4 linked regions of the Saccharomyces cerevisiae S288C genome follow. Changing the gene in region 1 together with any one later gene gives a genetic interaction. Each region holds a gene or a part of one and is shown in the gene's direction. Other genes may lie near its edges.

Region 1 (7,885 bases):
GACTTCTCTCTTGATTCTAATTTGACGTAATCGGCAAACAAATCAGTATTGTGTTCACGTTTATATTTATCAAAAGATTTCAATTCTTGCGAAACTTCACTAGGGATGGATTCTAAGCACCAAGCTTGGCCATGTGGATGTAAGTTGGAACAACCCATGGCTGTACCTTTGTTTTCAAATATTTGGACATATTTGAAAGGCTTATGATTTTCTCTTGCTTCTCTGGAGAGATCGTCAGTCAATGCTTGCCAAGAATTAACAATATGAACCAGATCTGATTGTTTCATTTGTGGAATGGTTAGATTATGATTGGGGCTAAAACATATGACGAAACAATTGCCTCTCACAGATTGCACTTTAAGCAGCCTATTTTTAAGATTATCCTCATTGGAATCATTCTGTGGTAAAATAGGTTGATCGAGCCTAACGGCAGCATAATCATTGGGGAAAATATACGTTGATTCATATCTTGGGTTTAGGTTACCAGTAGCTCTTTTGTTACCAGGACATAGATAGCATTTTGGATCATACAATGGAGCTGTGGGCTTGTAAGCAGCCTCCTGTTGACCTAACCAAGGTCTTTTAGCTCTGTGTGGAGAAACTAAGATCCATGAATCGGTTAGTGGATTGTAACGTCTATGGGAATGGCTAGAAAAATCAAATTCTTCAGCAGTCATTTTTGAGGGAATATTCAACTGTTTTTTTTTATCATGTTGATGCTCTGCATAATAATGCCCATAAATATTTCCGACCTGCTTTTATATCTTTGCTAGCCAAACTAACTGAACATAGCTACACATTATTTTCAGCTTGGCTATTTTGTGAACACTGTATAGCCAGTCCTTCGGATCACGGTCAACAGTTGTCCGAGCGCTTTTTGGACCCTTTCCCTTATTTTTGGGTTAAGGAAAATGACAGAAAATATATCTAATGAGCCTTCGCTCAACAGTGCTCCGAAGTATAGCTTTCCAAAAGGAGAGGCAAAGCAATTTAAGAATGTATGAACAAAATAAAGGGGAAAAATTACCCCCTCTACTTTACCAAACGAATACTACCAATAATATTTACAACTTTTCCTTATGATTTTTTCACTGAAGCGCTTCGCAATAGTTGTGAGTGATATCAAAAGTAACGAAATGAACTCCGCGGCTCGTGCTATATTCTTGTTGCTACCGTCCATATCTTTCCATAGATTTTCAATTTTTGATGTCTCCATGGTGGTACAGAGAACTTGTAAACAATTCGGTCCCTACATGTGAGGAAATTCGCTGTGACACTTTTATCACTGAACTCCAAATTTAAAAAATAGCATAAAATTCGTTATACAGCAAATCTATGTGTTGCAATTAAGAACTAAAAGATATAGAGTGCATATTTTCAAGAAGGATAGTAAGCTGGCAAATCAGGAAAATCTGTAGACAATCTTGGACCCGTAAGTTTCACCGTTTTTCAAGGTTACACAATCTTTCCAGTTCTCTTGATTGATAGCATCAATGTATCTACCAGGCTCAATTGCAAAACCTTGTCTTGCTTCGTAACCAGCAGACAAGAAATCACCGGTATAAAATTGATAAGTTGGCTCTGTACTTAAAACTTCTAATGTAATATTGGAATCGGGATGAAAAGCCTTGACAATAAGCGTCAATTCATTGTTTAGAGTATTGATTTGACTTGGCTTAGCATTTTCATCCACCACAAAACAACAATCAAACTGGGGATTTTTGGGGCCTAAGACCGTTGGCTTTGTAGAGTTAAAGGTAGCAATTTCTCTATCGACGATATTACCCGTAGGAATCATGTTTTTGTCGACATCAACAGATTTTTTTGAACGCACCATAATCTCCGTACCCTCAATAGTGTCTCCATATGGCTTGTTCAGATTGAAATAACTATGATTTGTTAAATTTATTGGCGTCGCTTCACCAGCAGTCAATTTACCTTTATATACCATTTCCAAACTTTTTTGGGCAACGTTCACAGTATACTGTATGGTTACCAATAGATCACCTGGAAATTCGGTGTCCTTCTCATTATCTATCAGCATGTACTCGGCGGTAAAAACATCCTTTGAAGGATTTTGAATGATGGGTCCCAAAAATCTTTTTCTGTGGAAAGAACCGATACTACTATGATTCGCATTAACGCCGTTATTAACGGTTAACTGATAGTCTTTGTTGCATAAACTAAACTTACCCTTCGAAATACGATTAGCATACCTGCCGATCGTGGCGCCTATATAAGCACTATCAGGATTCAAATACCCTTCCTCATTTTCATAGCCAAGAACAACTGATTGTCCGTTCACTTTCAGGTCAACAATGCTGGCGCCCAAATTGGCAAACGTGGCTTGAAATCTGGTGCCGGCACCAATAGTCACAAATCTTGCGTCATAACGCATATCTTCAGCGGAAAATCTGGCCTCGACACCCCTTAACTGGTAACCAAAAGGATTCTCAGTAGTCCATTTCCATAAATCCTTGCAGGAGTCTTCAACCTGCAACTCGGTCTGCCATTTCAGTTCGCGTTTGGCCCTATCTGGTTTAGCCGTCAAGTTCAAAACATCACCTGCTCTTCTGCCCGTAACTTTGTATGGAAGATCAATACCAGAAGCTTTGCAGAATGCATGATAAACTTCAAAAACTGTAGAACCTTTACCGGAACCCAAGTTCCACTCACGACACAAACCTTCATTTTCATTGTAGGCCTCTAGGTATTGCAGGGCTGCAATATGACCTTTTGCTAGATCAACTACGTGGATATAATCCCTGATCGGGGTACCATCTCTGGAATCATAATCGTCTCCGAAGATGTAAAGCTTCTCGCGCCTACCAACAGCTACTTGAGCCATATATGGCAACAAATTGTTTGGTATACCTAGCGGATCTTCTCCGATTAATCCAGAGGGATGTGCGCCAATTGGGTTAAAATAACGCAAGATAGCAAACTTCCAACTTTTTTTGTCGCTATTGTAAAGATCATTCAAGATATTCTCAATGGCGTATTTCGTATGACCATACGGATTAGTAGGCCCTAAGGGACATTCTTCTGGGATAGGAATCATATTTGGGAATCTCGTAGCATCACCATAGACAGTAGCAGAAGATGAAAAAACAAATTTGGAAACGTTGTATTGTTGCATTAACTCTAATAAAACGACAGTTCCCAAAATGTTATTGTGATAGTATCTCAGCGGGATTTGTGTAGATTCACCTACAGCCTTTAAACCAGCAAAGTGAATTACCGAATCAATTTTATATTCTTTGAAAACCTTTTCCAGACCTTTTCGGTCACACAAATCAACCTCATAGAAGGGAATGTGATGCTTGGTCAAGACCTCTAACCTGGCTACAGAATCATAAGTTGAATTCGACAGGTTATCAGCAACAACACAGTCATATCCATTCTCAATTAGCTCTACCACAGTGTGTGAACCAATGTATCCAGCACCACCTGTAACCAAAACAATTTTAGAAGTACTTTCACTTTGTAACTGAGCTGTCATTTATATTGAATTTTCAAAAATTCTTACTTTTTTTTTGGATGGACGCAAAGAAGTTTAATAATCATATTACATGGCATTACCACCATATACATATCCATATCTAATCTTACTTATATGTTGTGGAAATGTAAAGAGCCCCATTATCTTAGCCTAAAAAAACCTTCTCTTTGGAACTTTCAGTAATACGCTTAACTGCTCATTGCTATATTGAAGTACGGATTAGAAGCCGCCGAGCGGGCGACAGCCCTCCGACGGAAGACTCTCCTCCGTGCGTCCTCGTCTTCACCGGTCGCGTTCCTGAAACGCAGATGTGCCTCGCGCCGCACTGCTCCGAACAATAAAGATTCTACAATACTAGCTTTTATGGTTATGAAGAGGAAAAATTGGCAGTAACCTGGCCCCACAAACCTTCAAATTAACGAATCAAATTAACAACCATAGGATGATAATGCGATTAGTTTTTTAGCCTTATTTCTGGGGTAATTAATCAGCGAAGCGATGATTTTTGATCTATTAACAGATATATAAATGGAAAAGCTGCATAACCACTTTAACTAATACTTTCAACATTTTCAGTTTGTATTACTTCTTATTCAAATGTCATAAAAGTATCAACAAAAAATTGTTAATATACCTCTATACTTTAACGTCAAGGAGAAAAAACTATAATGACTAAATCTCATTCAGAAGAAGTGATTGTACCTGAGTTCAATTCTAGCGCAAAGGAATTACCAAGACCATTGGCCGAAAAGTGCCCGAGCATAATTAAGAAATTTATAAGCGCTTATGATGCTAAACCGGATTTTGTTGCTAGATCGCCTGGTAGAGTCAATCTAATTGGTGAACATATTGATTATTGTGACTTCTCGGTTTTACCTTTAGCTATTGATTTTGATATGCTTTGCGCCGTCAAAGTTTTGAACGAGAAAAATCCATCCATTACCTTAATAAATGCTGATCCCAAATTTGCTCAAAGGAAGTTCGATTTGCCGTTGGACGGTTCTTATGTCACAATTGATCCTTCTGTGTCGGACTGGTCTAATTACTTTAAATGTGGTCTCCATGTTGCTCACTCTTTTCTAAAGAAACTTGCACCGGAAAGGTTTGCCAGTGCTCCTCTGGCCGGGCTGCAAGTCTTCTGTGAGGGTGATGTACCAACTGGCAGTGGATTGTCTTCTTCGGCCGCATTCATTTGTGCCGTTGCTTTAGCTGTTGTTAAAGCGAATATGGGCCCTGGTTATCATATGTCCAAGCAAAATTTAATGCGTATTACGGTCGTTGCAGAACATTATGTTGGTGTTAACAATGGCGGTATGGATCAGGCTGCCTCTGTTTGCGGTGAGGAAGATCATGCTCTATACGTTGAGTTCAAACCGCAGTTGAAGGCTACTCCGTTTAAATTTCCGCAATTAAAAAACCATGAAATTAGCTTTGTTATTGCGAACACCCTTGTTGTATCTAACAAGTTTGAAACCGCCCCAACCAACTATAATTTAAGAGTGGTAGAAGTCACTACAGCTGCAAATGTTTTAGCTGCCACGTACGGTGTTGTTTTACTTTCTGGAAAAGAAGGATCGAGCACGAATAAAGGTAATCTAAGAGATTTCATGAACGTTTATTATGCCAGATATCACAACATTTCCACACCCTGGAACGGCGATATTGAATCCGGCATCGAACGGTTAACAAAGATGCTAGTACTAGTTGAAGAGTCTCTCGCCAATAAGAAACAGGGCTTTAGTGTTGACGATGTCGCACAATCCTTGAATTGTTCTCGCGAAGAATTCACAAGAGACTACTTAACAACATCTCCAGTGAGATTTCAAGTCTTAAAGCTATATCAGAGGGCTAAGCATGTGTATTCTGAATCTTTAAGAGTCTTGAAGGCTGTGAAATTAATGACTACAGCGAGCTTTACTGCCGACGAAGACTTTTTCAAGCAATTTGGTGCCTTGATGAACGAGTCTCAAGCTTCTTGCGATAAACTTTACGAATGTTCTTGTCCAGAGATTGACAAAATTTGTTCCATTGCTTTGTCAAATGGATCATATGGTTCCCGTTTGACCGGAGCTGGCTGGGGTGGTTGTACTGTTCACTTGGTTCCAGGGGGCCCAAATGGCAACATAGAAAAGGTAAAAGAAGCCCTTGCCAATGAGTTCTACAAGGTCAAGTACCCTAAGATCACTGATGCTGAGCTAGAAAATGCTATCATCGTCTCTAAACCAGCATTGGGCAGCTGTCTATATGAATTATAAGTATACTTCTTTTTTTTACTTTGTTCAGAACAACTTCTCATTTTTTTCTACTCATAACTTTAGCATCACAAAATACGCAATAATAACGAGTAGTAACACTTTTATAGTTCATACATGCTTCAACTACTTAATAAATGATTGTATGATAATGTTTTCAATGTAAGAGATTTCGATTATCCACAAACTTTAAAACACAGGGACAAAATTCTTGATATGCTTTCAACCGCTGCGTTTTGGATACCTATTCTTGACATGATATGACTACCATTTTGTTATTGTACGTGGGGCAGTTGACGTCTTATCATATGTCAAAGTCATTTGCGAAGTTCTTGGCAAGTTGCCAACTGACGAGATGCAGTAAAAAGAGATTGCCGTCTTGAAACTTTTTGTCCTTTTTTTTTTCCGGGGACTCTACGAGAACCCTTTGTCCTACTGATTAATTTTGTACTGAATTTGGACAATTCAGATTTTAGTAGACAAGCGCGAGGAGGAAAAGAAATGACAGAAAAATTCCGATGGACAAGAAGATAGGAAAAAAAAAAAGCTTTCACCGATTTCCTAGACCGGAAAAAAGTCGTATGACATCAGAATGAAAAATTTTCAAGTTAGACAAGGACAAAATCAGGACAAATTGTAAAGATATAATAAACTATTTGATTCAGCGCCAATTTGCCCTTTTCCATTTTCCATTAAATCTCTGTTCTCTCTTACTTATATGATGATTAGGTATCATCTGTATAAAACTCCTTTCTTAATTTCACTCTAAAGCATACCCCATAGAGAAGATCTTTCGGTTCGAAGACATTCCTACGCATAATAAGAATAGGAGGGAATAATGCCAGACAATCTATCATTACATTTAAGCGGCTCTTCAAAAAGATTGAACTCTCGCCAACTTATGGAATCTTCCAATGAGACCTTTGCGCCAAATAATGTGGATTTGGAAAAAGAGTATAAGTCATCTCAGAGTAATATAACTACCGAAGTTTATGAGGCATCGAGCTTTGAAGAAAAAGTAAGCTCAGAAAAACCTCAATACAGCTCATTCTGGAAGAAAATCTATTATGAATATGTGGTCGTTGACAAATCAATCTTGGGTGTTTCTATTCTGGATTCATTTATGTACAACCAGGACTTGAAGCCCGTCGAAAAAGAAAGGCGGGTTTGGTCCTGGTACAATTATTGTTACTTCTGGCTTGCTGAATGTTTCAATATCAACACTTGGCAAATTGCAGCTACAGGTCTACAACTGGGTCTAAATTGGTGGCAGTGTTGGATAACAATTTGGATTGGGTACGGTTTCGTTGGTGCTTTTGTTGTTTTGGCCTCTAGAGTTGGATCTGCTTATCATTTGTCATTCCCTATATCATCTAGAGCATCATTCGGTATTTTCTTCTCTTTATGGCCCGTTATTAACAGAGTCGTCATGGCCATCGTTTGGTATAGTGTCCAAGCTTATATTGCGGCAACTCCCGTATCATTAATGCTGAAATCTATCTTTGGAAAAGATTTACAAGACAAAATCCCAGATCACTTTGGATCACCGAATGCTACTACTTACGAGTTCATGTGTTTTTTTATCTTTTGGGCTGCCAGTCTTCCATTTTTACTGGTTCCACCTCACAAAATTAGACACCTGTTTACTGTTAAAGCCGTCTTGGTTCCGTTTGCTTCTTTTGGTTTCTTAATTTGGGCTATCAGAAGAGCTCACGGGCGTATTGCCTTAGGATCTTTAACCGATGTACAACCTCATGGCTCTGCCTTTTCGTGGGCTTTTCTAAGATCACTAATGGGTTGTATGGCTAATTTCTCCACAATGGTAATCAACGCTCCAGATTTCTCTAGATTTTCAAAAAACCCTAACTCCGCTTTATGGTCCCAATTAGTGTGCATTCCATTTTTGTTTTCCATCACTTGTTTAATTGGAATTCTAGTCACCGCAGCTGGTTATGAAATATACGGTATTAATTACTGGTCGCCACTCGATGTGCTAGAAAAATTTTTACAGACTACTTATAATAAGGGCACAAGAGCTGGTGTTTTCTTAATCTCTTTTGTTTTCGCCGTAGCTCAGTTAGGTACTAATATTTCTGCAAACTCATTATCGTGTGGAACTGATATGTCCGCT
Region 2 (7,551 bases), on another chromosome or scaffold:
GACAAGCCCAAACACATCAAAGGGGTCCGAAAGGACAATCACATGCACAGGTTCAAAGTACTAATAGCCCTGCGCTAGCGCCAATTAACATGTTCCCGAGCTTAAGTAATTCTATACAGCCGATGCTTGGCACCTTGGCTCCGCAACCGCAAGATATAGTACAGAAGAGGAAGCTACCGTTACCAGGTTCAATAGCCTCTGCAGCAACAGGCAGTCCTTTTTCTCCATCACCCGTTGGTGAGTCTCCCTATAGCAAACGCTTTAAACTAGACGATAAACCAACTCCGTCTCAGACGGCTCTTGATTCCTTACTTACAAAATCCATTTCAAGCCCTAGATTACCCCTTTCGACGTTGGCTAACACAGCTGTCACGGAATCTTTTCGCTCACCTCAGCAGTTTCAGCATTCTCCAGATTTTGTAGTTGGTGGTAGCTCAAGTTCAACAACGGAAAATAACTCTAAGAAGGTAAATGAAGATTCTCCATCATCTTCTTCAAAACTAGCTGAACGACCTCGTCTTCCAAACAACGACTCCACTACTAGCATGCCTGAAAGTCCCACCGAGGTAGCTGGTGATGATGTTGATAGGGAGAAACCGCCAGAGTCAAGTAAGTCGGAGCCCAATGATAACAGCCCAGAATCGAAAGATCCTGAGAAAAATGGTAAAAACAGTAATCCGCTTGGTACGGATGCTGACAAACCAGTACCAATTTCTAATATTCATAATTCTACTGAGGCTGCAAATTCAAGTGGTACAGTGACAAAGACAGCTCCATCATTTCCGCAGAGTTCTTCTAAGTTTGAAATTATAAATAAAAAGGATACGAAGGCGGGGCCAAACGAGGCAATCAAATACAAGCTGTCCAGAGAAAATAAAACAATATGGGACCTATATGCGGAGTGGTATATTGGTCTGAACGGTAAATCTTCAATAAAAAAATTGATTGAAAATTATGGCTGGCGAAGGTGGAAGGTTAGCGAAGATTCACATTTTTTTCCTACTAGAAGAATTATTATGGATTATATTGAAACGGAATGTGATCGTGGCATAAAACTCGGCAGGTTTACTAATCCTCAACAACCGAGGGAGGATATACGGAAGATTTTAGTAGGGGACCTAGAAAAGTTCAGGATAAATAACGGTCTGACTCTGAATTCTCTATCATTGTACTTTAGAAATTTAACGAAAAATAACAAGGAAATTTGTATTTTTGAAAACTTTAAAAATTGGAACGTTAGATCAATGACAGAAGAAGAGAAATTAAAGTATTGCAAAAGGCGACATAATACACCATCTTAAGTTTATTGAGGTTGTCCGCGACAATAGTTCCTTCAACAAAATAACGAAGCGACGATAACGAGAAATGTCATTAGGTTATTACTACCTTTATAGAAAATATATATACTTATTTAATATTTATATAGATTTATGTGTGTACATACCTATGCGGATGTATGCCTATGTGGGAATTCCTAAATGTCTTTCCATCAACGACTAAATATATATTCTCATGACTGACTATATGGGTTACGAAAACTTAATTTTTTTGTCAAAGACCCTGGCGAATTGAGAAAACCCGCTGGATAGATGGGCTATCCGAAATTTTGAAAGATGGAAAAAACATTAATCTCATTAGCAAAAGAGGTAAGACCCTGGGTGAAGAAAAGTCCGAGGAGGGAACACAAAAAAGTCTAGGATAATGGCACATGAAAAGTTTAGTATACCTGAGAACTTCACATTAGCGCAGTCTTTGCAATTGCTTTACTCTGTTGTCAAAAATCAATATAAAAACCTAGCAGACCTAATAATCAATAGCAAAGGTAATAAGGACACAGTAACGTATGGGAAAATCCACAAAAACTTAGACACTTTACTGGTATACGTCAATGAAGGTCTACGAAAAATTGAAAAGACTTATACCTTAAAGAAAGGGTTAGGAAATCTTGTAGTTGATCATCCTGAATTGAGGAGCATCATTGAGGATTTCCAAATTCTTGGCCAGGATATAAGGATCGCACGTCGTAAAGCAGAAACGCTTATGGCCGAAGGAAACGGTAGTCCCTCTTTGTCATCCTCCTCTTCCGTTTTGGGCCTTGGGACAGGAAATGGTTTGCGTTTTCCAAAACTTTGGAGAATGGGTTCCAAAAGAGATAAATTGAAAGAAGCTGACGAAAAGGAGGCTAAAATCAACAAACAGGCTGATAATATCAGACGTGCTAGGAAATTAGAAGAAGAGAAAAAGTTAGGAGCAAAACTTCAGTATGAGAGGGACTTAGAACTTCAAAGGGAAAAATTGATCGAGTTAAAGGTTAAAGAAAAGGTCGAATTTGAAGTGGCCCAAAAGTTGGAGGAGGAGAGAGTTAAGAGAGAGGAAGAAGAACGCAAACATAGAGAACAAGCGGAGAAAAAACGTATATCAACCCTGAAACATGAGAGGAAAACAAATTACAAATCAAGGGCTAGCCTCGACAACTTCTCTTCCAGTAGCAAATCTTCTGGAAAGATTGACAACTCCCTAATTAAAAGAAGATCACTTGACGTTGTACGGACTTCAGGCGAAAGAGTACGAACGCCAGTAAGAAAATCAATGGAGGCAGCAGAAATAGGTATGGCTGCGCAGTTAGCCTGGTCTCAGTATCAAAACGGGGCAAATCATTCAAAAGTGAGTAACAACGGATCGCATTCAAATGAACTTCAGATACGTTATAAGCCAACACCACCTTTGAAAAAAAGGTATGACTACAAAAAGCCAACAGTTAATCGACCGATTATAAAATCACCTACTCTTAACAGGCAAAACAGCAAGTCTTCACGGAATATACCCACAAATAGCAAGCTGAAGGCTAGTAAATCCAATACTAACAAAGTTTCTCGTAGGAATGAGCAAAATTTGGAGCCTAGTTCACCAGTACTCGTTTCAGCGACAGCGGTACCTGCTGAATCCAAACCCATGCGTTCTAAAAGTGGTACACCCGATAAGGAAAGCTCTGCTAGTTCATCCCTCGATTCCAGAAAGGAGGATATATTAAAATCAGTGCAGGGAGTAGATCGAAACGCTTGTGAACAGATACTTAATGAAATTCTTGTTACGGATGAAAAAGTTTATTGGGAGGATATCGCAGGCTTACGGAATGCGAAGAATTCTTTGAAAGAAGCAGTGGTTTACCCATTTCTGCGGCCTGACTTATTCAAAGGGCTAAGAGAACCTGTTAGAGGTATGCTTTTGTTCGGCCCACCAGGTACAGGTAAGACAATGATTGCTAAGGCGGTTGCGACAGAGTCCAATTCCACATTTTTTAGTGTAAGTGCATCTTCTTTGCTATCGAAATACCTCGGTGAATCTGAGAAGCTGGTTAGAGCATTGTTTTACATGGCCAAAAAATTGTCACCCTCAATTATTTTCATAGATGAGATTGACTCTATGTTAACAGCTCGCTCTGATAATGAAAATGAGTCCTCGAGGAGAATTAAAACAGAACTTCTTATTCAGTGGTCCTCCCTATCTAGTGCTACTGCACAATCGGAAGACCGAAATAATACGCTTGACAGCAGAGTACTTGTCTTAGGAGCAACGAATTTGCCATGGGCGATTGATGATGCAGCAAGAAGACGATTTTCACGGAAACTATACATTCCTTTACCAGATTATGAAACTAGACTATATCATTTGAAGAGATTAATGGCCAAGCAGAAAAATAGCCTGCAAGATTTAGACTATGAATTAATAACAGAAATGACCGAGGGGTTTTCTGGTTCTGATCTTACGTCATTAGCCAAAGAAGCGGCAATGGAACCTATTAGAGATTTAGGAGATAAGTTGATGTTTGCGGATTTTGATAAAATCAGAGGAATTGAAATAAAAGATTTTCAGAATGCTCTGTTGACAATAAAAAAGAGCGTGTCGTCAGAATCTCTACAAAAATATGAGGAGTGGTCTAGTAAATTCGGTAGTAATGGTTCCTGAACGAGAGGGAGCGTCTTAATGGCAAAGAAAGGTATGAGAAGGAATTTTCCCCTTTCAACTTCTTGCTTCTGATCTAATTTTATTACCTATGTACTTTCTATGTATTATCAAAGAAAAACTAACTTCGGTTCCCTTATGATTTGATATTTTTCTTTCTTATTTACAATTAGTTTTCTCAGAACGATATTCAATACAGTTCTCCGGATTTTTGCTTACTATATTGGCCCCAAAAAAATGAAATAAAAAAAGAAAACAAAATAATATACTTGGGTGAAATAAAAAAAATAAATCAATAGCACCCAGTTAACCTAGATTCAAAGTTTCTTCTTCAATCTCAATTTATATACACGTTTGAGTTAATGGGAAAGCAAAGTCCAGCTATAAAACACTTGACCGTTAGCGCCATACCCTCCAACAACTAATTGGACCTTCTCCTTCTGCCCAAACAGTATATGCAAGGTACAGCAGTTACTACAAGCACAATATGTCTTGGATAAAAAATGTAACAGAATCTCCGACTTCACTGATTAAAAAAGTTTCATGTGGTTTGATAATTGCTGCTTCTCTATATGCCATTGCACCCAGCCTAAGTGCGCTAGTCTTTGGGGATTCTAAGCAGAGTATTGGGAAGTACACGACAGTGGGCTTAATTAATCGTGGGAATGATTGCTTCATAACATCATCTTTGCAAGGCCTGGCTGGAATACCTCGATTTGTAGAATATTTGAAACGGATAAGAACGGTCCTTCTAGAATTAGAAACTAAGCTGTCAAATAATGCAAAAGGCGACAATCCTACAGTTGATAACACTACAAGGCATAGTCGACTTGAAAACTCGTCTAATTCACTTGCCCCCTTACACGAAAGTCTTACCAGTTTAATTTTGGATTTGATATCTGTAAAAGATCGTAAGACGTCAATTTCTCCGAAAATAGTGATAAACACATTAGAGTCCATCTTTAAATCAAAGATCTCATCCAAACAAAATGATGCACATGAATTTACATTAATATTACTACAAACATTACAGGAAGAACGATCAAAATTGATCGATTACAGTAAACAGATATGTAATTTGAATATACCAAAGTTTCCATTTGAGGGCGAGACTTCCAAGTTTCTAGTATGCCTTAAATGCAAGGGTCTATCAGAACCATCATACAAACAGACTTTCATCCGCGAACTGTCCGTACCACAACAAACATCAGAGAATCTATCCAATATTCTAGCACACGATGAAACAGAAATCATAGACGACTATTCATGCCTGATCTGCCAAATAAGAGCAATCTTAAACCATGAAGAATATAGAAATTTCAAGGACTGTACCCCGGATGAAATTTTAATGTTGGACAGATTGAAAAATTATGCCACTAAAGCCCCAATTAACGAAAATTTACCATTCGAAGTAGAACAGTACGTCAAGCGTTACTCAAAGGGCAATTTGCAGGTATCTAATATAAAGGGAAAGGTCATCAAAAAAGATGTAGTAGTACAACTGCCAGACATATTAATTGTTCACTTATCGAGATCCACATTCAATGGTATTACATATTCTAGAAATCCCTGCAATGTCAAATTTGGAGAAAGAATAACACTTTCTGAATATACATTGGCTGAGAGTGGGACAATAACAGAAAACAGGCAAGTCAAATATAATTTGAAAAGTGTTGTGAAACACACCGGTTCTCATTCGAGTGGACACTATATGTGTTACAGACGCAAGACTGAAATTCGTTTCGGGAAGGAGGATGAATCTTCCTTCAGAAGAGCACCAGTTGTCAACAATGAAGTTAACAAGAATCGCGAGCAAAACGTTGCACATAATGATTACAAAAAAAGCAGATATAAAAAAGTCAAAAACGCCCTGCGGTATCCTTATTGGCAAATATCTGATACCGCCATAAAGGAATCTACCGCTTCAACTGTCTTGAATGAACAGAAATATGCTTATATGCTATACTACGAACGTGTAAATAAATAACCGCCCTGTACATAGGTATATTATAATAATAGTAAGTTACGCATCCATATCCACATCAGTATCCACTGCCATCATTTCAACATCGGTATCAGCCTCTCCATCATAAGTGTATTTCGAAGTCATTTGATTATGGAACCACTTCCACCAGCTTAGATAAGCAATTTCCTTATAATCTACCCATTTTATTATTTGTAGCCTTTTTTCTCTCAAACGTTCCCATATTTTGTCATAAAACAAGTCATTGTCGCCGCGTTTACTTGTGGAACACTTGATGATCTCTTTCAGGACCTTATCATCAATAGCGTCTGTGAATACTATATTGTTATGAATAAGATTGTTATCATCTGCATGTCCGTTCTTGGGCCCTTTATCATTTAAGGATAAATTCTCTAAATCTATAATTAGTCTTTTTCTTTTATAATTATCAATTCCTATTGGGTCTGGAGAATGATTTCTTTTCCTAATGTGGTTGGGATTGCCATTACTTCTTGCAAACCGGGAACTCATGGAATGAAAAAGTCATTTAAACGTGCCACTAGTTTTACTATCTGCTAATCGTTCTAGACGTGTAATATAAATCATATCCGAGCGCCGTTGTTGAATAATTTAATGCCTTCGTATTACATACATTTTGAAATTTGCTTTCGTAAAAGAGCGGTTCCCGGATAAAAAAGTGTGCAAATAACCGAGCCTTATTTGATTTCCAGTAAAGACCCAACCAAACGCATCATTGAAGCAAAAATAGATTAAAACTTACTGTTGTTCGTCTATTGAATTTTGTTCGGATTGGTGTGGTGTTTAATATCTTGGGCAGAAAGAGAATTGGCTTTATAGACACTCATAAAATCATCATTCCCCTTAGAGCAAAAGGTATTTTTAGAAGCCAAGAAGAAGAGCAGATAAAAAAGAAGTACGCCCTCTAACAATAAAAGTCAAATGGCTAGACAATTATTCACTCCTCCGATAACCAATCCAAGGTTTGACCCTAATCAATCCATCAGGGAATCATACAAGAACACAACTGGCGGCATGCAATTTCAACAAAATCTACATGAGGATCAAAATGACAATGAGAGAAGTAGCTGTGATGGTGATGAAAACTCTACAACAGGAGAAAGGCTAGAAAACAATAAGTCTCCTATATTGACAAAACAAGAAATTGACGAAGCGTTGAACACTGTCACCAATTTACCTCCAGAATTATCAAAATTAATTGACATTTTTATTGATGACCTAAAGCAGCCAAAGTACGTACGGCCACTATCAGTACTGCAATTGTCTAGTCTTTTCCAAAGCTTTTACATAAAATTTGATAAAGCATCATTCCAGCACGTCAGTTCAGCGAATAATAATGGCTATTATTTTTCTGGCGGGGGCTCTAGTTCATTCTTGGCTGCCAAAGAAACGTTAAGTAGTGGTCTTAGCGGAATTTTTGGCAGAAGTAGGAGTAGTAGTGGAAATTCACTTATGAGGCCAAGAAGATCTTCATCGCTTTTCAGTAATGAGTCAATATCAAATTCAACTAATGCCACACAAATGTTGTCACCTGAAGAGATAAAAAAGCAATTGAAAATCAACGAATTAAACAACATGAAAATCGA
Region 3 (7,873 bases), on another chromosome or scaffold:
AGATGGACCCTTGTAAAGAAATAGGGGCGGTCACAGAATTCTTTTCAAACCTGGCCAACTCTTGTTGTAGTTGATTTTTTTGCTTCACAGCATGGTTGTAAAGAGCGTTCTATTTGATGGTAGTAGCAAAATACCCTGTTAGTATTACATCTTGTTTTAGCAATAATGAGAAAAGATGCCTCCGGCGATCAAACATACCATTCCCCCCTCAAATCAATATGATTAAGTCACGATAATATCTGCACTATTGCCGTGTTTCCTTCTCCATCGACAGCGTCGATCCTGTCTATTATAGCCAGCACACTGAAAATTTCAATGGCTGGCTTGTTGTTCGCGTCGCAACTTTTGATATTTATAAAAAGAGAGAAGGCATATCCAAAGGATAAGGTATTGTCTTTGTAAATCAATCAACCAAACCTCTACGGAATTTTGACCCTTGAAGCAGGGACTATTACACGAAAATGACTCCTTCCACCCCACCAAGGTCCAGAGGGACTAGGTACCTTGCGCAGCCTAGTGGCAATACTAGTTCTAGTGCCCTAATGCAAGGTCAAAAGACCCCCCAAAAGCCTTCACAGAACCTAGTCCCTGTCACTCCCTCAACAACTAAGTCTTTTAAAAATGCGCCATTATTAGCACCTCCCAATTCGAACATGGGTATGACCTCTCCATTTAATGGGCTTACGTCTCCTCAACGCTCGCCGTTTCCAAAATCTTCAGTGAAGAGGACACTATTCCAATTTGAAAGTCATGATAATGGAACAGTAAGGGAAGAGCAGGAACCATTGGGTCGTGTAAATAGGATATTGTTTCCCACGCAGCAAAATGTGGATATAGATGCAGCAGAAGAAGAAGAAGAAGGAGAAGTTCTTCTTCCCCCCAGCAGACCTACATCTGCCAGGCAGTTACATTTATCACTTGAAAGAGATGAGTTTGATCAGACACATAGAAAGAAGATTATTAAAGATGTACCTGGTACGCCCAGCGACAAGGTGATAACATTTGAATTGGCAAAAAATTGGAACAACAACTCTCCGAAAAATGACGCCAGGAGTCAAGAAAGTGAAGACGAGGAAGACATCATCATCAATCCAGTGCGGGTGGGTAAAAATCCCTTTGCATCAGATGAACTGGTCACTCAGGAAATTAGAAATGAACGTAAAAGGGCAATGTTGAGAGAAAACCCAGATATAGAAGACGTAATAACATATGTCAATAAGAAGGGAGAGGTGGTAGAGAAACGAAGGTTAACGGATGAAGAAAAGAGAAGATTCAAGCCAAAGGCATTGTTTCAATCTAGGGATCAAGAGCATTGAAGAAATGAAAAAAAAAAGTTTCTGGAACGATTATATTTTATTTACTTACTTATTCTACATTTATTTGCAAAGGGGCATTAACATCAACATTTTACATATTATAATATATACAGGATATTCTATATTACAACATTAACAGGATTTTTAACTTTTCCTTACCGTATTCTTTTATTCTGGTTTTCTGTCTTCAGAATAATAGCATATTTCATTGTAGTATTTCGTCAAAGCGAGTTAGGGGAGGATGACTACAAGAAAGACAGCTTCCTCTCTTCAGCTTTTAGGGAAAATCACAGGAACAAAAGCTGGAACTAAGCAAAAGAAGATGAATTTCATTAATGGACTGATATGGTTATATATGTGTGTGTGGATGGTACACGGAAAAGTGACGCAGAAGGATGAATTGAAATGGAATAAAGGATACTCGCTACCAAATTTGCTAGAAGTGACAGATCAGCAAAAAGAACTTTCACAATGGACTTTGGGTGACAAAGTAAAACTTGAAGAAGGGAGGTTTGTTTTAACTCCTGGAAAGAACACAAAGGGTTCACTTTGGTTGAAACCTGAATATTCAATAAAGGATGCAATGACAATAGAGTGGACGTTTAGAAGTTTCGGGTTCAGAGGCAGCACAAAGGGGGGTCTTGCATTTTGGCTGAAGCAAGGAAATGAGGGAGATAGTACCGAGTTATTTGGTGGAAGTTCGAAGAAGTTTAATGGTTTGATGATATTGTTACGATTAGACGATAAGTTGGGAGAGAGCGTGACAGCGTATTTGAATGACGGAACAAAAGATCTTGATATTGAATCCTCACCGTACTTTGCGTCATGTCTGTTCCAATACCAGGATTCCATGGTACCATCAACATTAAGATTGACTTACAATCCACTAGATAATCACTTGTTAAAGTTGCAAATGGACAACAGAGTGTGTTTCCAGACAAGGAAAGTTAAATTTATGGGCAGCAGCCCATTTAGGATTGGAACAAGTGCTATCAACGATGCATCCAAAGAATCGTTTGAAATCTTGAAAATGAAGCTTTATGACGGAGTTATAGAGGATTCGCTAATTCCTAACGTGAATCCTATGGGACAACCCAGAGTGGTTACTAAAGTGATCAATTCTCAAACTGGTGAAGAGAGTTTCAGGGAAAAGATGCCATTTTCTGATAAGGAAGAAAGTATAACGAGTAACGAGCTTTTCGAAAAGATGAACAAGTTGGAGGGGAAAATCATGGCAAATGATATCGATCCATTACTCCGCAAGATGAACAAGATTGTGGAGAATGAACGTGAACTGATTCAACGTTTAAGACCACTGTTAGATCTGAAGAAAACAGCCATAAGTGACGATAGTTTCCAAGATTTTCTTTCGATGAACGCAAACCTGGACAGATTGATAAAAGAACAAGAAAAAATTCGACAAGATGCCAAGCTGTATGGCAAGCAGACCAAAGGTCATGATGAGATATTTTCCAAAATAAGTGTATGGTTGGCACTGCTGATTTTCATTATGATCACATTGGCGTACTACATGTTTAGAATTAACCAAGACATCAAGAAGGTCAAACTTCTGTAAGCTCTTGTGTCTTTGTTATATGGGTACAAGATATAAGAAACATAACTATTACATACGAAAATGTGCATGTTATCTATATCCTTCTTTATATAGATGCTGTTAACTTCTTTTTTTTTTTTTGGGAAAATCAACTGTTAAACGCGACAGTAAAAGCAGCAAAACATTAATTTTGCTTCCAAGACGACAGTAATATGTCTCCTACAATACCAGTTTCGCTGCAGAAGGCACATCTATTACATTTACTGAGCATAACGGGCTGTACTAATCCAAGGAGGTTTACGGACCAGGGGAACTTTCCAGATTCAGATCACAGCAATATAGGACTAGAAAATATCAGGTAGCCGCACTCAACTTGTAACTGGCAACTACTTTGCATCAAACTCCAATTAAATGCGGTAGAATCTTTTCACAAAAGGTACTCAACGTCAATTCGGAAAGCTTCCTTCCGGAATGGCTTAAGTAGGTTGCAATTTCTTTTTCTATTAGTAGCTAAAAATGGGTCACGTGATCTATATTCGAAAGGGGCGGTTGCCTCAGGAAGGCACCGGCGGTCTTTCGTCCGTGCGGAGATATCTGCGCCGTTCAGGGGTCCATGTGCCTTGGACGATATTAAGGCAGAAGGCAGTATCGGGGCGGATCACTCCGAACCGAGATTAGTTAAGCCCTTCCCATCTCAAGATGGGGAGCAAATGGCATTATACTCCTGCTAGAAAGTTAACTGTGCACATATTCTTAAATTATACAACATTCTGGAGAGCTATTGTTCAAAAAACAAACATTTCGCAGGCTAAAATGTGGAGATAGGATAAGTTTTGTAGACATATATAAACAATCAGTAATTGGATTGAAAATTTGGTGTTGTGAATTGCTCTTCATTATGCACCTTATTCAATTATCATCAAGAATAGTAATAGTTAAGTAAACACAAGATTAACATAATAAAAAAAATAATTCTTTCATAATGGCAGTTGAGGAGAACAATATGCCTGTTGTTTCACAGCAACCCCAAGCTGGTGAAGACGTGATCTCTTCACTCAGTAAAGATTCCCATTTAAGCGCACAATCTCAAAAGTATTCTAATGATGAATTGAAAGCCGGTGAGTCAGGGTCTGAAGGCTCCCAAAGTGTTCCTATAGAGATACCCAAGAAGCCCATGTCTGAATATGTTACCGTTTCCTTGCTTTGTTTGTGTGTTGCCTTCGGCGGCTTCATGTTTGGCTGGGATACCGGTACTATTTCTGGGTTTGTTGTCCAAACAGACTTTTTGAGAAGGTTTGGTATGAAACATAAGGATGGTACCCACTATTTGTCAAACGTCAGAACAGGTTTAATCGTCGCCATTTTCAATATTGGCTGTGCCTTTGGTGGTATTATACTTTCCAAAGGTGGAGATATGTATGGCCGTAAAAAGGGTCTTTCGATTGTCGTCTCGGTTTATATAGTTGGTATTATCATTCAAATTGCCTCTATCAACAAGTGGTACCAATATTTCATTGGTAGAATCATATCTGGTTTGGGTGTCGGCGGCATCGCCGTCTTATGTCCTATGTTGATCTCTGAAATTGCTCCAAAGCACTTGAGAGGCACACTAGTTTCTTGTTATCAGCTGATGATTACTGCAGGTATCTTTTTGGGCTACTGTACTAATTACGGTACAAAGAGCTATTCGAACTCAGTTCAATGGAGAGTTCCATTAGGGCTATGTTTCGCTTGGTCATTATTTATGATTGGCGCTTTGACGTTAGTTCCTGAATCCCCACGTTATTTATGTGAGGTGAATAAGGTAGAAGACGCCAAGCGTTCCATTGCTAAGTCTAACAAGGTGTCACCAGAGGATCCTGCCGTCCAGGCAGAGTTAGATCTGATCATGGCCGGTATAGAAGCTGAAAAACTGGCTGGCAATGCGTCCTGGGGGGAATTATTTTCCACCAAGACCAAAGTATTTCAACGTTTGTTGATGGGTGTGTTTGTTCAAATGTTCCAACAATTAACCGGTAACAATTATTTTTTCTACTACGGTACCGTTATTTTCAAGTCAGTTGGCCTGGATGATTCCTTTGAAACATCCATTGTCATTGGTGTAGTCAACTTTGCCTCCACTTTCTTTAGTTTGTGGACTGTCGAAAACTTGGGACATCGTAAATGTTTACTTTTGGGCGCTGCCACTATGATGGCTTGTATGGTCATCTACGCCTCTGTTGGTGTTACTAGATTATATCCTCACGGTAAAAGCCAGCCATCTTCTAAAGGTGCCGGTAACTGTATGATTGTCTTTACCTGTTTTTATATTTTCTGTTATGCCACAACCTGGGCGCCAGTTGCCTGGGTCATCACAGCAGAATCATTCCCACTGAGAGTCAAGTCGAAATGTATGGCGTTGGCCTCTGCTTCCAATTGGGTATGGGGGTTCTTGATTGCATTTTTCACCCCATTCATCACATCTGCCATTAACTTCTACTACGGTTATGTCTTCATGGGCTGTTTGGTTGCCATGTTTTTTTATGTCTTTTTCTTTGTTCCAGAAACTAAAGGCCTATCGTTAGAAGAAATTCAAGAATTATGGGAAGAAGGTGTTTTACCTTGGAAATCTGAAGGCTGGATTCCTTCATCCAGAAGAGGTAATAATTACGATTTAGAGGATTTACAACATGACGACAAACCGTGGTACAAGGCCATGCTAGAATAATGCGTTTGAAGTGAGACGCTCCATCATCTCTCTTAATTTTTCATGACTGACGTTTTTTCTTCATTTTAATTATCATAGTATTTGTTTGAAAAAAAAAAAAAAAAATTTCCCTTATCAATGATATCCTTACGATTATATAAATTCCTTACCTAAACCTATTATTTGTGTACATATATCAGAGTATTATTACATATATAACCTTTTTCTCTAAAACAGGAAAAAAAAAAGAAAACGATAACATGCTCTGCCATCCTTTGTTCACCGAGCAAAATTAAAAACGCAAAATGAATTGTCCCTATGAAATTATTAAAGGACCACATCACCAGACTTATCTCTGGGGGGTCCTCTAGAAAATAAGTCAGGTACTTGCCTGGACTTTCTTCCAGTTGAATTCCTGAGCTAACATACAATTAATGGAGTGAGAATGTTCGAACGATCCAGGAGTTGCTTTTTTCAGTCATTTGTTTATCAGTGTAACAAGCATTTCCTTTATTTCTTTTATATCAACCTGCAACCTATTAATATTCAATTCAACGTCTCGGAGCTTTTCTCGTACCGTTTTACCATCATCCATTTCCATGCTAACTAATTCTGAGATTACGATTACATATTGTCTCAGTTCTGGTTCATCAATGGCTGATAAAACTTTCATTACATTTTGGAAAAAATCTTCGTCATTTAGGTCTAAAGTCAGGATTTGGTTCCTTATAGACTCTCTACGATCTTTTTTCAAGTTTTTTTCTGAAGAAATATGTCCATTTTCATTAGTGACAGCGGTAGAGTCCTCTTCCGCTCGAACCAAACTATCACTGCCGGTGTTTTCCTCTCGAAAGGGTTTGTCTTTACCAATGGAAAGACGCCCGTCTTCTGCGCTTTCATATAATTTGACAGTGGCTATATTGAACTGTTCTTGCAAATCGCCAGTTTTGGCATCCCCTACCCAACCTTTTTCATGCAATTCCTTTCCTTGAGTGACCCAAGCGACGAGGTTATCTCTAATATATCTTGAAGTTATAGGTACTCTTGATTTCTCCTTATAAACTCTGTTAAAAAACTCAGCTATCATTTGATGACATAATATAGGTCTCCTTTTACTTGCTCTCTTTGTTGTGTGGAGCAAGAGGGCCCAATATATGACTGTTAACTTTTCACAAAGACTTTTTTCTTTATTATTGGACCATCGAAACTTCCTTAGTTGCCTTGTTTCCGCTTCGTCATTACTGTTTCCCCCCAAGTCTGTGGGGGCTCCAACGTGCAATATGTCGTTGTCAATATCACTAGAAGTATGAGTTTCCACATTCAACTTGGTATTAGTAGTGTTAATTCTTTTATTAAAGCAAATAGTATGTGTAGATTGCAGGAGGTCGAAGCTCTTCGGATTGGCAAAATCAATATTCTGCTCTATAATTTTCACAGGTTTTGTTGGCAGTATTTGTGCAATTCCTGTCATTGAGTTTCTAAATACATTCTTTTGGTCATATTTTGAAGTGCTCTTTTTGCTTTTATGTACTTTTTTTGAAGAGGACGCATTCACATTTGTTACTTCCAATTTCTCTTCCTCCATTTTTGGCGTTTCAGAGGGCTTTCCGTAATAATCTTCAAAGGAATTTAAAGTAAAATTCTTAAAGTTGGACATCCAAAAGGATCTTCACAATATAAGCGTTTTTCTGTCCACCAGCTTCAACAAGCTTCAGCCTACTACCAATTTCTAATACTGTTTTATCTTATTACTTGCTTACTTATCCACTCCCATTGTTTTGTCCTAGATGACAGCATCACCCGGACTGAATATTAAAGCGTCAGTGTCACTTATTTTAAGTCATAATCAAGTCCTTTTAATGTGGCTATAGATTAACCCTGTACACTAAAGCTGTATATTATTTCCTTAAAGGAGCATTTATTCCCAAACTGTAACGCAGAATGTCATTCCAGAATCATGGAAAAAAGATTCAAATAAATAAATGTATATACACCAAAAATTACAACTTCGAATCCTATAGTACTTTTAATCTTTTTGAAAAAAATATTACTAAAAACTATGTATCATGTCCAAAGGCCATAGGGCCTAGCATTTTCTTTGTTAAAAAAGATAAACAGTAGAGAAATAAATAAAAAACGCCCTAACCCAACATATAGGACCTCTTTTTCGTTGGCCTAGTCAACTTTAATGGATGAGTAGATTTTTCTAACAAAGAGCATACTGCTGATAAAGCCAATTGACCCCGTTACCAAACAGCAGAGTAATGAAATGACTGAGGAGTATCCCACGTATAAGACAATAGTCGTGAATCCACC
Region 4 (7,679 bases), on another chromosome or scaffold:
GTTAACAACATCAACAAGATGTAGTGTCTGTGTTGGAATCTAATGGTCCAATCATCAGTCATATCGGTAATATCAGCTCTAGCCTTGTATTTTGGATTTGGCTTCAAAAGCATCCATCCCATGTGGGAGTACCATAGACCTCTACGAGCGTCATAAGGATCTCTCAAGGTATCAGTGTAACGATGGTGAATTCTGTGAGAGTGGCCCCACCATTTAGCGGACCCTTCAACGGAAGCACAACCGAAGATAGCGTAGAATAATCTCAATGGCCAGTGAGCGGAGTAAGATCTGTGAGACCATAATCTATGGTAACCGGCAGTAATAGAAACACCACCGACAGCGTAGTAGAAAACGGAGAAAAGGAAAACGTTTAAATGCAAAGGCACTTTACCAGAGAGAGCAAAGTACCAACCAATCATTGGCATACCACAAACAAGAACCATGTTCAACCAGTTCAAATGTTGGTGCCAGTTATTCAAAGTCCATGGTTGTTCGGAGATGTGAATTTTAGTTTTAGCTTCTTCTTTTTCTTGGTTGTCCTTTTCTAGCAGACGATCCAAATTGGACTTCTTTTCGTTTCCCTTCTTGTCGAATTCCACGGAAACCATTTCCTTGGAGCCCATTAAAGAACCAAAACCGTTGACAATTCTTGGTGCTTTCTTATTCAAACCAGTAGCCAAAATATTAGCTTCCGTTAAGTCGACTTCGTCGACAATGCCACTGCTGGCAGAGTCATCCTTTGGAAATTGGTCGTCAATCAATTCAATAGTAGTTCCAGAAGTTGGCATCTTTGTTGTAATGTTTTAGTGCTGTTTATAATATGATCACCACAACTATCTATTACTATGATGTTCTATTCTACGTAATACAAAATATAAACGGAAACAGAAGTAGGAAAGATGGAAATAGAACAATAAATGAATCAAGATCTGCCCCCATATATATATGTATATGCTGATTTGCAAGACTCGATGAGCCAGGAGCCGATGATTTGCTGCATATATTGTTAACTACTATTATTTCCACCTTTGTGTGCCATCCCCATAGCCGTAACAATAGGGATAGGTGTGTCTGAGTGAGCAAGACTCGTAGAAGCACACCTGGTTGGGCACTAGATAAGGTTTGTTGAGTGTTCAACGTCCGAAAGAAAGCTGCCGACTATGCGAAGAGAACCTTAAGCCGTTATTACCTCTGCCTGTCACAGGCGATGTGATGCTAACGAACAGCACCAGAGCCAAGCCAACTGGGGCGGTCTGCAGAGAAGGCTGGGATACCCGAAATAGCTCGCTCAACAGCTTTTTTTCTTCTACGGAAGCCCACCAGATAAGCGCCTTTGTTGGGCCCGCTAACCCCGGGACATGCCCGGGCTCGGAGTTAGTTTTTGGCCACCGGGCGCCCGAAAAATGCTTCAGAAAAGAGCCATAGTCACGGAGAATCTTGACGTGCATAATGATTAGATATGACACCCTCATTCTCATTTGGATTTATTATCACGTGATGGTATAACCCGGACTGGAACTACATATCCGCTAATCCTTGACTTATTTCCATGTGTCATTTATTTTTTTTTTTTTTTTTTTTCCTTTTTTTTTTCCGCCCGGCAAATGAAATGAAAAATGGGTGATGGAGAAACCATGAGGTTTTTGAGAAATTTCACAGATGACTATAAACTTAGCGATATCATCTCGTACAGAAAAGTAACCAAACCTGCAAACGAAAAGCTTACTTTTGTTAAAAGCGTATCAAGCTAGCGATACGAATACCTCAGAACATCATCTTTTCAGCAAGACCCACCCAATGCCTCAAAATACAAGACACACGTCCATCGTAGAAATGCTTTCTACCCCACCTCAATTACCGAATTCCACAGATTTAAATAGTTTGAGCGAACAGACAGACAAGAACACTGAAGCAAACAAAAGCGACACAGAATCACTACATAAATCTATTTCGAAATCGTCATCTTCATCTTCTCTCTCCACGCTGGATAACACGGAATACTCAAACAATAATGGCAACTCCTTGTCCACCTTGAATTCACAGAATCTGTTATCTGTTCATAGGCAGGAGTGGCAACACACTCCTCTGTCAAATTTGGTGGAACAGAACAAATTGATTTTCATCAGAGGTTCTATTTCCGTAGAGGAAGCATTCAACACGCTGGTCAAGCACCAGCTAACGTCTTTGCCTGTGGAGAATTTTCCGGGAGACATGAATTGTTTAACATTCGACTATAATGATCTCAATGCGTACCTTCTTCTTGTATTAAACAGGATCAAGGTGAGCAACGACAAGATAACCTCAGACTGCCAGAATGGTAAGTCCGTGCCCGTGGGCGAGATAGTAAAGTTGACACCTAAGAATCCATTCTACAAATTGCCCGAAACGGAAAACTTATCGACGGTAATAGGCATACTAGGCTCAGGTGTGCATCGTGTTGCCATCACGAACGTGGAAATGACACAGATTAAAGGTATACTTTCCCAACGTCGATTGATTAAGTATCTGTGGGAGAATGCGAGATCATTTCCCAACTTGAAGCCTCTCTTGGACTCTTCCCTGGAGGAGCTGAATATTGGTGTACTAAATGCAGCCCGTGATAAACCTACATTCAAGCAGTCACGTGTCATATCCATCCAAGGTGACGAGCATCTAATTATGGCTCTGCATAAAATGTATGTCGAAAGAATCTCTTCCATTGCGGTAGTTGACCCGCAGGGAAACTTGATTGGTAATATTTCAGTAACAGACGTCAAACACGTCACCAGAACTTCACAATATCCTTTATTACACAATACATGTCGTCATTTTGTCTCGGTTATTTTGAATTTAAGGGGCCTAGAGACCGGTAAGGACTCATTTCCTATTTTCCATGTGTATCCAACAAGTTCCCTGGCAAGAACGTTTGCCAAATTGGTCGCTACCAAATCTCACAGATTATGGATAGTACAACCAAATGACAATCAACCAACAGCATCTTCCGAAAAATCCTCATCTCCATCACCAAGTACTCCACCCGTAACGACATTGCCATCGCTTGCGTCGTCATACCATTCGAACACGCAATCTTCCAGGATGGCCAACTCTCCTGTTCTAAAATCTTCAGATACATCAAACAATAAAATAAATGTAAATATAAATTTGAGTGGTCCCTCACCTTCTCAACCACAGTCTCCATCGGCCACAATGCCACCACCTCAAAGTCCAAGTAATTGTCCCGCATCTCCAACTCCAGCACATTTCGAAAAGGAGTATAGAACAGGTAAATTGATAGGTGTTGTGTCATTGACTGACATATTAAGTGTTTTGGCAAGAAAACAAACGCATCATAAGGAAATTGATCCGCAGATGGCAAGAAAGCAAAGAGGGCATATAGGCTGAAACAAACCAGACGAAAAAAACTGGCTTCATTTAACTACATATACATATATAAGGGTTTTTCTGATTTTTATTTTATCCCAATAAAGTTTGATTTTTTTTTTTTTACTTTTATTATGCACTGGGGCGAGGTTTTTAGGCCCTTTCTTTTCTTAGAGGAAATATATACACATGTTCTCGCTAAAATCAGTTAAAAGGTCCGATTGAGATGGTACTGTCAAATGTTAAAATCTTCAGATTAAAATCGCATAGAGCCTTCAGAATCGGTCCCATGATTAAAGCAGTCGCAGGAAATCTTTTGGTAAAGAGATTTTATCAACCAAAATTAGAAAGAATTCCACCGGCTTCACTGCTTTTGAAGCAGAAAATACGGTTAGCTCAAAATGGCAGTACTACATCTACAGAAAACCCCATTTCCTTCTCACAGACCATGTCCGAGATATTTAGCGTCTTGCAGCCAAGTGCACCAGATCTAGATGAAGACGAAACAAGTGGTTTGAAACGCGATCATTTATTAACTGAGCGTCTAAACAACGGCGAGCTTGGTGTCATTATGAACAAATTCTTCAATCCGTCTTCGACACATAACAATCAGTTGATAGATACGAATATATTACTTCAGAATTTTCCTAAGTTAAGTGGTAATGACTTAGATTTATTGGATTTTGCCATAAATGAGAAAATGCGAGGAAACTGGAATGATCTAAAGCAAGATTTCATTCAGTTGTGGTACTACAAGTCATTTGGCTTTCTTGGACCTCGAACTCAATTTGTCCTGACAAACTCTTCTCCGTCAGTTAGGTCCCAATTCTTGAAACTTCCATTCATCGAATATAATTGGTTTCTCCTACAAAATAACAAAAACGCAAATATACTACCTGCTGATGTGCAAAACGTGGTCAAGGTGTTTCATCTTGATGATAAAAGGTTTACTTGGAAGAGCATAGATCCATTCAGCAAAGCTATAATTTCATTCGTCGTTTTTGTTTCCATATATGTGTGGTTGGATGAAAGTGCAAAACAAAAAACGAAGGAGCTGCCCGCACAGAAGAGTACTGTAATATCAGAATAAAAAAAAATGGGGTCACTCTTCATTCTTGCAGTTAAAAGTGCCACTCACTCATGATTTTTTTTTTTCCTGTTTTTTTGATTTTTTTTATATATTATACATTAAGTTATCTAAGTAAATATATTCTTTCTACTCTAAATAAGTATTCCTTGAATCAAACACAAAAGATACGGGTATCGGCAGTTATAACCGATAACAAATTGTCCTTATTTCTCATTTCACGTTATTTTCTCCAAAGAAATTTATGGTAGAGCAGTGTTTCTTTTTAGTATATTATTTATATGCAATGTTTCTATCATTATTAAATTTTCTTTACGGTATAAAGTAGAAGATGGAGGAATAGAAAGCAAACGGATCGATAGAGAAAGAAACTCACGATGAAGCCCTATATTTGATTGAACAAAAAGGTAATCGAATTCATAATATCGGCTCGGCATTCATCATTAAGATTCTTTTGATTTTTCTCAGTCTGCTTCGTCGTCGTCGTCGTCGTCATCATCATCATCATCATCGTCCATATCGTCCATATCATCCTCCCAAGATTTCTCTACCGTCTCCTTAACTCTTTTGACGTACTGTGATTTATGATCTTTGAATAATGTTGCAGCTTCAACGTTTGCTGGCGAAGCTGGATTTGGATCGTTGAATAAACTTTGAATGGATGTCAATATGGATGCGACATCATATGTTGGAGTCCATCTGTTCTGCAAAATATCCAAACAAATTTCACCATTTGCATAGACATTGGGATGAAACATTTCACTCAAAAATTTGACATGCGGTGGCTTATTGGGATATTCTTCATCAAACTCCAACAATAACCTAAAAGTTCCGTCTTCATATGGAGTATCGGCTGGCCCGATAATCATGGCGTTCCATACCATGACGTTATCAGGTAATGGTGAAGCAGATACACCCGGTGGGGCATCTTCCTTCATACGTTTAAAATCTCTCATCAACCTTCTTCTAGCTGGTGTGGACATGACGCTTTATCTTTTAGTCTCTGTCTGCCTAAAAATAATCTTTGGAATTCGATCTTCGTTGATTTTCCACTCTACTATTTATGTCATCAACTCTGCAACTTGATAGTTCTTTCCTTTTTTTCTCTTACACATTCCATTCGCTTTCATTTTTATTTTTCCAGCTTTCTACTCCGGCTACCCGGAGGTGCCTTTTTGTATATACATACACTAATCCGGGAAATGTAGTCACCATACTAATATTCCGAATATGTATTTGTTCCTTGGTATATAGTGTAAGCATGGTTAGCTCACACTTTATCTAATTGTAGTTTCTTCGTATGCTTCATCAAGTTGCCTAATTTTAATACAACATCGGTACCATATCCAGGCATTGAATGCAATGAAAGGTCGCCGTTCCAATATTCAGCATACACTTTACACATGGCTAACCCAATCCCAAGCTTGTATCTAAAAGACCGCTTTAACAATTCAATTAGGGGAGTTTCATATTTGATGTGCCCATTTATGATGCTAGGATAACTCATTGGTTCTAGCGACGTGTGCATGTACGGTTTTAATGTTATTGACTGCAATGACTTCAGTTTGGAGTTATATTTAGTATGGGAATGTACTTCGTCATAAATAGATACTGTTTGTAAACCAGGTAACTTGTGAAAATTATTTAGGGATTCTTGAGCCCTTTCTTTCGATTTACCGAATGACCATAGATTTTCATCATCATGGAGGACGCCCCCAGCTTTATCTGAAATTCTAAACAAATAGGATTCATCGTTACTTACTACAGTTACTATGATTGGTTCCGGCTTTTCTAATCCCTTACGAATATAGTGTTTCATGGTTGCTTCGTAAGTATTTCGAAGGATCTCCCCTAACAAATACTTCAAATGTGTAGGCAAAAAGTAAAAGCTTAGTTGAGTGTCACCTTCGATAATAAATTCTGGCATGGGAATGTCTTTAAAGTACATATCTTGGATAAATTTTTGAGATTCCTCACTGGCTTCCAATAAATATTTTTTAGCGCTACATTCTTGAAAAATATCACCCAATACCAAGGTATTTTCCTCCTTACCACTAGTGTAGTTGGCTGTGATACTGACGTGTTCCTCTACAATCAATCTTCTTGATATTCGAGCTCTTAACAGATCAGATAGTAGTTGGTCCATTTTTTCACGAGGATAAAGATCCAAAATTGTACATTCTAAAGCCCCCATTATCAAATGTGGTAAGTTTAGAGTATTGAAGCCTTCTAGCATATTTTTGATAAAATCTGCAAATTGAGAAGCGTCCTCTAAAGTTCTTATAGTCGGATATTTTCTAAAGCTTTCAAAAATATTGTAATATGACTCATAAACTTGAACAAAATGGAAGTTGTTCACAACATTAAATGGAAGTTGTTGCAATTGATTTAATTTATGCGCGATCCTAATTACCAGTTCTTCTTTTACAAATTTCCCGGAATTGATGATCTTGGTTCTGGTCAGCTTGGTAGAATCGTCATAATATTGCGCTAACTGCGTTAATGATACTGGATTTGGACTTCGTTTTAAGTAATTTTCTACTAATACCGTTCTATTATGATAGTAATGCTGCGGATTGATATATTCGGAATTTGAAGGGTATGCCTTCATGGTTTCCATGATGTAAGGTGCCAATTCTTCATTTACGGGACCAATGCAGTATTTCGTGAAATCAGGGATCTGCGAGATATTAGATGTCCTGAGAAAGTGCCGGTATCTTATGCAATTAATTTGATACTTAGACATAATTACAGAACTATTTATCCATTGACCAATCTCTCACGATCTTCATCTTTTACGTACTTTCTGGGTTCCAATGCAAGTATCCCATCCCTTCCCTTTTTATTCCTTGACGATCGGGCGATGAAATCTGAAAAAAATGAAAGTTTGGATGACTCAAAACATAGTGTTTCCCTTTAATAGAATAATTCGATTTACTCGGGAACAAAAGAGAAGAGCAACTAATTTACTATGTAGTTTACGAGCGTATGTTCATCTCTTCTATATATTCTCCCAGAGTATTATTGGAAATGTTGATGAATGCTAATTCAGGCTCACCTTCTCCTTGAAATGATTCGGAGATTTCTTTATTGATGAGTGTTAACAGACCCAAATCCCATTTGTTCCTTAAACTAACAAAAAATTTCATATATGTTAGTACCAAGAGTAAATCACCTTGCGTTCTTTTCTTTTGCTTGGCGGCAGAAAAACATATTAAAGCAATGCTATGAA

Evidence for each region.
Region 2: of GAL1 (region 1) and YTA6, changing one suppresses a phenotype caused by changing the other (phenotypic suppression), as found in Saccharomyces cerevisiae (one study listed by BioGRID).
Region 3: mutations in GAL1 (region 1) and GAL2 impair growth when combined (synthetic growth defect), as found in Saccharomyces cerevisiae (2 studies listed by BioGRID, with this or other methods).
Region 4: mutations in GAL1 (region 1) and SDS23 together harm fitness more than expected from each alone (negative genetic interaction), as found in Saccharomyces cerevisiae (one large-scale study listed by BioGRID).

What each region holds. Positions count from the first base shown.
Region 1 is NC_001134.8:274,851-282,735, forward strand, and holds GAL1 (galactokinase), read left to right. Parts: upstream 1-4,170; coding exon 4,171-5,757; downstream 5,758-7,885. Other genes in the region: GAL7 (UDP-glucose:hexose-1-phosphate uridylyltransferase), read right to left, coding at 1-677; GAL10 (bifunctional UDP-glucose 4-epimerase/aldose 1-epimerase), read right to left, coding at 1,403-3,502; FUR4 (uracil permease), read left to right, coding at 6,593-7,885. UniProt on the Saccharomyces cerevisiae protein: Galactokinase is a key enzyme in the galactose metabolism where it catalyzes the conversion of alpha-D-galactose to galactose 1-phosphate.
Region 2 is NC_001148.4:414,062-421,612, forward strand, and holds YTA6 (putative AAA family ATPase YTA6), read left to right. Parts: upstream 1-1,701; coding exon 1,702-3,966; downstream 3,967-7,551. Other genes in the region: transcription regulator GCR1, read left to right, coding at 1-1,301; putative ubiquitin-specific protease UBP16, read left to right, coding at 4,451-5,950; YPL071C (uncharacterized protein), read right to left, coding at 5,987-6,457; guanine nucleotide exchange factor MUK1, read left to right, coding at 6,887-7,551.
Region 3 is NC_001144.5:286,359-294,231, forward strand, and holds GAL2 (galactose permease GAL2), read left to right. Parts: upstream 1-3,853; coding exon 3,854-5,578; downstream 5,579-7,873. Other genes in the region: BOS1 (Bos1p), read right to left, coding at 1-109, 199-201; cyclin-dependent protein serine/threonine kinase inhibiting protein SIC1, read left to right, coding at 462-1,316; EMP46 (Emp46p), read left to right, coding at 1,558-2,892; SRL2 (Srl2p), read right to left, coding at 6,036-7,214; EMP70 (Emp70p), read right to left, coding at 7,733-7,873. UniProt on the Saccharomyces cerevisiae protein: GAL2 is a facilitated diffusion transporter required for both the high-affinity galactokinase-dependent and low-affinity galactokinase-independent galactose transport processes.
Region 4 is NC_001139.9:391,737-399,415, reverse strand, and holds SDS23 (Sds23p), read left to right. Parts: upstream 1-1,797; coding exon 1,798-3,381; downstream 3,382-7,679. Other genes in the region: OLE1 (stearoyl-CoA 9-desaturase), read right to left, coding at 1-788; GEP7 (Gep7p), read left to right, coding at 3,587-4,450; E2 ubiquitin-conjugating protein RAD6, read right to left, coding at 4,912-5,430; protein kinase PKP2, read right to left, coding at 5,718-7,193; YBP2 (Ybp2p), read right to left, coding at 7,426-7,679. UniProt on the Saccharomyces cerevisiae protein: Involved in DNA replication and cell separation during budding.